Linked DNA regions of Canis lupus familiaris. The protein of the gene in region 1 interacts with the protein of each later gene in a pairwise test. Links are inferred from orthologs where the notes say so. Each region holds a gene or a part of one and is shown on either strand. Other genes may lie near its edges.

What was found.
Region 2: the proteins of ATN1 (region 1) and LENG8 interact in a two-hybrid assay, tested with the Homo sapiens proteins (2 studies listed by BioGRID and IntAct). The link is inferred for Canis lupus familiaris from reciprocal best matches to the Homo sapiens genes ATN1 and LENG8.

What each region holds. Positions count from the first base shown.
Region 1 is NC_049248.1:7,975,022-7,979,365, forward strand, and holds the start of ATN1 (atrophin-1), read left to right. Parts: upstream 1-1,524; 5' UTR 1,525-1,629; intron 1,630-1,978; exon of another isoform or gene 1,979-2,026; intron 2,027-4,318; exon of another isoform or gene 4,319-4,344. Other genes in the region: ENO2 (gamma-enolase), read left to right, coding at 1-55. UniProt on the Homo sapiens protein: Transcriptional corepressor. Recruits NR2E1 to repress transcription. Promotes vascular smooth cell (VSMC) migration and orientation. Corepressor of MTG8 transcriptional repression.
Region 2 is NC_049222.1:103,607,540-103,611,101, reverse strand, and holds part of LENG8 (leukocyte receptor cluster member 8), read left to right. Parts: intron 1-592; coding exon 593-703; intron 704-1,760; coding exon 1,761-2,013; intron 2,014-2,230; coding exon 2,231-2,372; intron 2,373-2,645; coding exon 2,646-2,834; intron 2,835-3,104; coding exon 3,105-3,125; intron 3,126-3,231; coding exon 3,232-3,510; intron 3,511-3,562.

The DNA of each region.
Region 1 (4,344 bases):
TTGCTCCCCTGTGCCATGTTCCACAGTCGCCACCACATCTGTGGCGTGGGAATGAGCACCACCATTAAAGTCTGAATCACAGTGCGTTGTTGTGTCTGAAGAGTCTTACTCTAGTCATATTCGGGGAGAGAAGATGGAGCGCCCACACCCGAAAGTTGGTGAACTCGGATAGCAGAGCTGGGGAGGACCCAAAAAGAGGAAGAAACTGAACAAGTATGGCTAAGACGATGGCACTGCCTCCCCTCCCTGGCCAGGTGGGGACCCTTGTTGCCCTCCTGCCTTCTCAGCATCAAGCCTGGCCCTGGGACCGGGGTGAACCAAAAGTTCTCCACCGAGATTTCCTAGAAGTGTCAAAAATGTGTGTGTGCATTTTTTAGGAAAAGGGGTGCAAACTATTCTCAGGTTCCTAGAGGGCCATGACCAAAGAGGGGATAAAGCTGTGTACTGGAAAAGCTCCCATCTAGGCCTCTCCCCAATGCAGTCTTGGTCATTCTGGGTAAGAGCACTGTGTGGGCATCACCCCCTGCAAGATGGGGACCCAGGGAGGGGAGTGGTACCTGGGGCTACAAAGGAGGGTCTGAGGAAATGGAATCTTCAGGAAACTGGAGAGTCAAAGCCACAAGTGTTGGGGTGGCCTTTGAGCAGGACCCCAGTGTGTGGCTGGAGATCCACTATCACTCTTCAGCTCCAGGGGAGCCCTGACTTTGGCACAGGGACCCAGGAACTCCCCAGGAGGAGAAACCCTCTCCTGGGGCTGGGACACGGAGCAGAACCCAGCAGGCAAGGGCTACACACAGGGAGCTGTGGCCACTAGAGGGAGGCAAGGTTCCGTGGGACGCCACACTCAGCCCGAGCTAGGGGTGTGATGGGAGGAATTTCAAGGTTGTCCCCTCTGTGGGCCTCCTAAACTGTTTCTACTCTGAGTTCTGGTCCTGGGCTCTCTGCCATCCTGCCCAGCTCCAGGACAAGGAGAGGATTTTCGTCCTGAATGGGCAGGACCCATGTCTCTGCTCTTCTTCCTGTGTCACTGACACCTCAGCCATTTTCAGTTCAGAGAGCTTCTTGCCTCTGCTCCTCTATGCCTCTTAATTTCAGGGTGGGCAACTCATCTTTCTCTTCCCTCCGGTCTCCTGGCGCCCCTTTCTGTTCCCTTTGGGGCATGCTTTTCTCTGTGCCTCTCCGTTTTCTCTGGGGTCCGTGATACCCATCTTTCTCCTCCAATTCCTGGACTGATCAAGCCGATTGTGATTGGAGCCGTATTTACTAACCTCTGCCCTTTCCCCCCACTCCTTGCTAGGTGGCCTCCTCTGGTAGCCATGCCTCCCCCCTCTCCCCCAGGTACTGGGTTGGATTGGGTTACAGTAGCTCCATCTGGGCCTCCCTGGCCCCTCTCTCCACTTTCCCTTTGTGCTGTTGCCTGGAGACCAGTGAGTTGTGGGGGGCTGAGGCCATAAAGAGAGCTGGGGTGAGGGATGGTGTGGGGTGTGTGTATGTGATGATGCACCCCAAAGCTGAATGGTAAGCCTAGTCCTCAGGCTGGGGAAGAATCAGAGAGGATAGGCCCTGGCTTCTCTGACTCTCCCTATCTTCTGTTCCTACCTTTGCCTCAAATTTTTCTTTTAGGCTCAGGTATGTCACCATCCTTAGCCCATCCCTCGGTGGTTAAAAAGCAAGAGAGAGCAGCTTGGCCTACAAGGGAGCTGGGAAGGGCCTGGGCCCAGGCCCAGTGGGAGAATGAGCTGAGATGTGAGGAAGGAGAGGAAATGCGATGGGGAATGAGGAGGAAGAGGAGGAGTCTTGGAACAAAGTTGTTGTGGGGTGGAGAGAGGGAGCAGGGGTCATCCTAGGGCGCTGAGGAAGGGAGGGCGGGAATCCCATGGAGGGGAGATAAGGAGCTGGCCAGGTCTCTGGAAGGCACTGAGGGATCAAGAAGGTGAAGCTGGGCTAGAAAAGTGAGTTGCCCACCAATTCAGCAGCGATGAAGAGTGGTGATTCATTGCTGGGCCAAGGTGGCCACCTTGCTCAGGTTCGTCAGTACTTTAGAATCTATTCAGAGCTTTTGGGTATTCCCAGAACTCAGCTGAGTCTGGCCCAAGGAAATATGAGGCAAAATCCACTGAGTTGCTACAAATCCAATCTCCATCCTTTCCAGAAGGATGGTGGGATCCTGCCATCCAGGGCCCATCCATCCTTGGCCTCTGGTTGGCTGGGCTCTGGCATTTGCCCTCTTCCCACCCCAAATCTGGAGAGCTGGTAAGAGCTCCCAATCCAGGCTCCAGCTCCAGCTCTTCCAGTTTCCCAGCCTGCTCCCTCCTATTCTCTGGCCTTCCCAATCTTAGCTGCCAAAAATCACCCAGCGTCTTGGTGTCCTTTGTCCTGGGAGATGTTGCTGCAGGGTGTGGGGCCAGGGAGACATCCCAGAAGAAGACACTGGGATGGGGTGCTGGCTTCAGGCTGAAGACTGGAAATGGCTGGCTGGCTGACAGTTAGGCTGCCTGGAGAGTGAGGAGGGTTGAAGGAAGAACCTGTGGTCTGGGGGTAGGGTGGGGATTGTCTCCACAGTAGAACAACTGGGATTGGGGAACCAGGAACCAGGACATCTAGGAGATTTGGCTCTACCTTGAGCCTAATCCCCACTGGGCCCCTTATCTGTGGCTCAGAGTACTGTCTGTGGTGACTTCAAACAGGTCTGAGAAGGAAAATTGAGACACCACCAGACAGAAGGGCCTGAAGATAGTGTCCCACTCCTATAAACGAATCCCTTCCCTACATGGGGGCTTGCCCTCCCCTGCTTCTATGGTTTCCTTCTACTGCTTTCCCTTCCCATCTCCACTCTTTGTCTTCCCAATCTCTGACCTCCCTCCATGGCCTTGTTTATCTTCCATTTCCTTCTAATCTTCTTTACCTACTTCCCCCTTGGCCCCCACCCCATTCTATCTACCTTTGTCTAGCCAACCGAAATCCTCCTCGGAAACCCCCACCCCCACCACCCCAGAAGTCCAGCCAGTGTCTTCCCCGCAGCTTTCCCACCCAGCACTCAGGCCTCCCTAGAATAAGTCTCCGGCCCCACCTCCTTCATGGCTTCTAAAAGTTCCTCACCTCTCCCCTTCTCTCCGTGCTGACCCCTCTGAACTCTCCTCAGCCTTCCAGCATCACCGCCCCCGCCCCGTTCTTGTGTTCCCTATTCTTTTCCCGACACCAATCGCGTCCAAACTACTCTCATGCAGAAACCCCATCCGTATATACAGATAGATACTAGATATAGGATATATGTATCTATATAGTATAGGATATGGGACTATAGATATAGGATATATGTAGATCTCCATCTTTTCAATTTCTCCCCCTCCCCGTGACCCTAAGCTTCAGCCCGCGTCTCCCGCTACAGGTCGGCCACAGGCGCTGTCACCCCCAGCTCCAGCCGCCCCTCCCGTCCCGCGCCTCCCCGCCCCCAAAGCCTCCGCGTACCCCGACAGGCCAATCCCAGCCGCACACCCACAGCCGCCCACGTCCTCCGTGCCTCGGCCCCCTCGGCCCCCTCGGCCCCCTCGGCCCCCAAACTTCTCCAGTCCGCGCCGCCTCCGCCGGCACAGCCCACGGCCCCTCCCCCGCCCTCCCGCTCCCCGCCGCCGGCCTCGGCGAACCCTCCCCGCGCCCCAACCCCCGCGGCCGGCCTCGGCCAAGTGGCGCGGCGCCGCCCCCTCCGGCTCCCCCGCCGCCCCCCCCTCGCGGCTTGCCTCGCGCTCCCTCCCTCGCGTCTCCCTCCCGGCCCCTCTCCTCCGTGCCTCGCGCTCCCTCCTTCTCCCTCTTCCTTCTTCTCCCATCCCCCTCTCCCGAGCGCCCTCCCTCCGCCGTCCGCTTTCCTGTGCGAGTCGCCGGACGCGCCGCCCAGCCCGCCCGCAGCCCCGCGTCGGGCCGGGGCCTCCGGCCGGGACCCGTTCGGGGGGCACCGCCGGCCGCGAGGAGGGGGCGAGGAGGGGGCGAGGCGGGGGCACGGCCGCCCGGGAAGGGGCGGGGGCCGCGGGCGGAGGCCGCCCGGGGGGCCGGGGAGCGCGCGAGTGCGGGCTGCGCGGGGCGGGCGGCGGCGGGCGGCGGGCGGCGGGCGGAGCGGCGCGGAGGGGGAGGGCCGGCCGGGGCCGCGGGGAGGGCGGCGGGGGCGGGCGGCGCGGCCCGGGCATTCCGGGCGGCGGGGGCGGGCGGGGGGAGCGGGGGAGCGGGCGGGCGGCGGGCCCGGGGAGGGGCTGAGCCAGAGCGGGGTCGGGTCTGCTCCGGGGGCAGGCGGGCGATCGGGGCCCGGTGGGGGAAGGGGGATGGGGGCCGCCCTCCGGGGGGGTCGGGGCCGCC
Region 2 (3,562 bases), on another chromosome or scaffold:
TTCCGAGACACTCCACTAGCATGTTGTTCCCATGATCAAGTTGAAGGCCCTTTCTAGGTCCCACCTTCTCTGCTCTGGCCACTTCCTCTCCCCATGCTTAGTCTGTTACCCATGACGTCCACCTGTGCTCTGTGTCAGCTCTCATTCCCTTTTCCCACACCTCTCCGTGTTCTCACCGTCGTGGTGGTGGTGGGGGTGCTTCCCAGGTTAGACCTTTCTCTGACTGGATAAGTTAAAGCAGGGTTGCACCCCACTCCTTCTTGCTTTCACAGTGCTTGCTGCCAGATACTCTGTGTATCCATCTGCAACTGTGCACGTGTTTTGAGCGCAGACTTCATGAGAGGGTGGATTTTTACTGTTTATTTTTGGTTCTGTTGTAGCGTTTAGGAAAGTTGGCATTCGGTAAATATTTCTTAAATGGAGAATGGGATTGATAGAGTTTTTTGTTGTTTTTCTCATAAGAAGGATTTATGTAGTGGAGAAAGATAGGGGTAAGAGTGTGGAGCACAGAGGTTATGTCTGGCACCTGAGAGGGCGGGAGAAGGGGAGGGAGCTGGGCCTGTCCTGATCCTCATTTCTGTGCCTCTGGCAGAGCATGTACCAGAGCTATGGTTCCCCTTCCCAATATGGCATGGCCAGCTCGTATGGCTCCACCGCACCCCAGCAACCATCAGCACCCCAGCACCAGGGGACTCTGAGCCAGGTAACACCCCCACCAGCTTTGTGGCATGTTCAAGATGGGGAATGTAGTTTTTCTGAGTGGGTGAATGGTGGGGACCCCTGTATTTGTTACAATGGCTGCCTCTGGGTAGTCTCCTGCCTGGTGACTACCGATCTGATAACTGAGGAGGGCAAACTATAGTTTTTGAAACCAGGATGGGGGCACCTGGGTGGCTCAGTGGTTGAGCGTCTGACTTCGGCTCAGGTCGTGGTCCCGGGGTCCCGGGATCGAGTCCCACATCGGGCTCCCTACAGGAGCCTGCTTCTCCTTCTGCTTCTTCACCAGTCTGCCTGTGACTCTGCCTCTCTCCTTGTCTCTCATGAATAAATAAATAAACTTAAAAAAATGAAACCAGGATGGGTTTAGGGCTTGGGCAAGGCCTGGGAGTAGGTGTTGGGGTTGATGGTAGCTGCGGTTTGCAGTGTGGCAGCCTATCTTGGGAATCTTCTCTCAGTGCAGTGCACACAGACATGCATAGTCATGCACATTGTCTGGCCTTGCACTTAACGTGCAGCGTGGAGTAGTGCAGAGCTGTGCAGGGGAGGTGGAGTGACCTGGGCCAGAGTCCCAGCTCCCCTCCCTTGGTGTCATTACAAGTCTCATACCCTCTCTGCGTCTCAGCCAGTCCTGTCAAGTGGGAAGGATAACCACTTCTTCACAGGGTCCCCTAGAACGTGGGTGACCATATGTGTGTTTTGACCGGCATACAGCATGTGTTCAGACAATAACTCCTGGGTGTGTTGGCAGCACTCACTAGAGCGCTCACTAGTTGCCTAACTGAGGTTTAGATGCCTACTGCTGCCACTGAGTGGCTGGGGACTGTGGGAGAACATCTCAGGATCTAAGCTGGAGCCTTCTCAGCTCTGAAGAGGGTGGGCACTAAACCTCCGTTCCTCAGGGAGACAGTGCTTGGGGCAGTGAGATGTGGGAGGGTCACAGGACGGAGTTGAGGGCTGAGTGGTGCTGTGATCATGAGGACAGTGTGAGAGCCAGCACTGGAAGCTCTGCTCCTGCCCTCAGCACCTGCTTCCTCCAACAGCCCCCAGTCCCTGGCATGGAAGAAAGCATGTCCTACCAGGCCCCCCCTCAGCAGCTGCCAGCAGCCCAGCCCCCTCAGCCCTCCAACCCCCCGCATGGGGCTCATGCTCTGAACAGTGGCCCCCAGCCTGGAACAGCCCCAGCCACACAGCACAGCCAGGCAGGGCCTGCCTCAGGCCAGGCCTATGGGCCACATGCCTACTCTGAGCCTGCCAAGCCCAAGAAGGGCCAACAGTTGTGGAACCGGATGAAGCGTAAGTTGGAGGTGGAATTTGGGGAGAGAGAGGGCATAGGGGCTGCACCTTACAGAGCCAAGCGTGGGGCACTTCTGGGTGTGGTGCTCATTCCCTGGCTCTGGATGCAGTTGGTTTGGAGCCCTTCTCTAGAGCTTGGCGTCTCCCATTCCTGGAGATCAGGCAACCTGAGGAAGGCCACGGTAAGGTCTAACCCCAGCTCTTGCGGCCCTCACAGCAGCCCCGGGGACTGGTGGTCTCAAGTTCAACATTCAGAAACGGCCCTTTGCTGTCACCAGTCAGAGCTTCAGCTCCACCTCGGAGGGCCAGCACAGCAGCTTCGGCCCCCAGCCCAACCCTGAGAAAGCCCAGAACCACAGGTGATGGCCACCCCCTTGATCCTGTCCCAGCTCTCTCCTTCTGCTGTGCGTATAGTCCACTGGCAGGTTGTGCACCCCTCTGAGCCTCAGTCTGCCCCTCCAAGATGGGGAGGGGTTCCTCTTTTAGGGTTGCTGTGAGCATGAAATGAGAGGGGAAGAAGATGATGCTCGCATTGTTTTGGGTTTGTGTCTGCTTTGTGAGTGGTAGTGACAACCATCTTTGCTGGGGTGTGGGGTGCCGCCCAGCTGAGTCCCACGTCTGCCTTCACCCAGGGGGAGCCTGTCGGGGAAGCCTGATGATTGGCCACAGGACATGAAGGAGTATGTGGAGCGCTGTTTTACTGCCTGTGAGTCGGAGGAGGACAAGGACCGGACAGAGAAGCTACTCAAGGAGCTGCTGCAGGCTCGGCTGCAGGACGGCTCAGCTTATACCATTGACTGGAGCCGGGAGCCCCTGCCAGGGTTAGTCTAGGCCAGGGATGGGGAGGAGGGCGATTCTGGGTGCTGAAGCGGAGACCTGCAGACTTAGGTATCTGAAGCCCCAAGAATGAGCAAGAAAGTTGGCTCCCAGGGGTAGAAGGCCAGGAGGGTAGAGCTGAGGCCCAGGCACTGCCTGGTGGTGGAATCCTGGGGTGGGGTGAAGGCCCTGAAGCCTGGCGAGTGCATGGTACTCAGCAGCGAAGAACACTCTCTAGACAGAGAAAATCTTGGGTTTGCCTCCCATTTTTGCAGTGTGTTAGCTGAGTCGCCTGGGTAAGTTTCTTTCCTGCCTGAGGTGGTGTGTTCCTGGGGCGGCTGGCAGATGCTGGGGTTGGTGGAGGCGCTGGATTGGTGATGCCCTGCCCTGCTATATCCTCAGGCTGACTCGGGAGCCTGTGGCTGAGAGCCCCAAGAAGAAGCGGTGGGAGGCCCCTAGCAGCCTTCATCCTCCCAGGGGGGCAGGCTCAGCGACAAGGGGCGGGGGTGCCCAGTCCCAGCGAGGGACACCAGGGGCTGGGGGTGCTGGCCGAGCCCGGGGCAGCAGCTTCGCCAAGTTTGGCAACCGCAATGTCTTCATGAAGGACAACAGCTCTTCCTCCAGCACGGACTCCCGCTCCCGTTCCTCCTCCCGGTCCCCCACCCGCCACTTCCGCCGCAGGTGTGAAGAGTTCAGGGTCCGGGGTGGGGGGGGTGGGGCGTAGGGGCTGTGG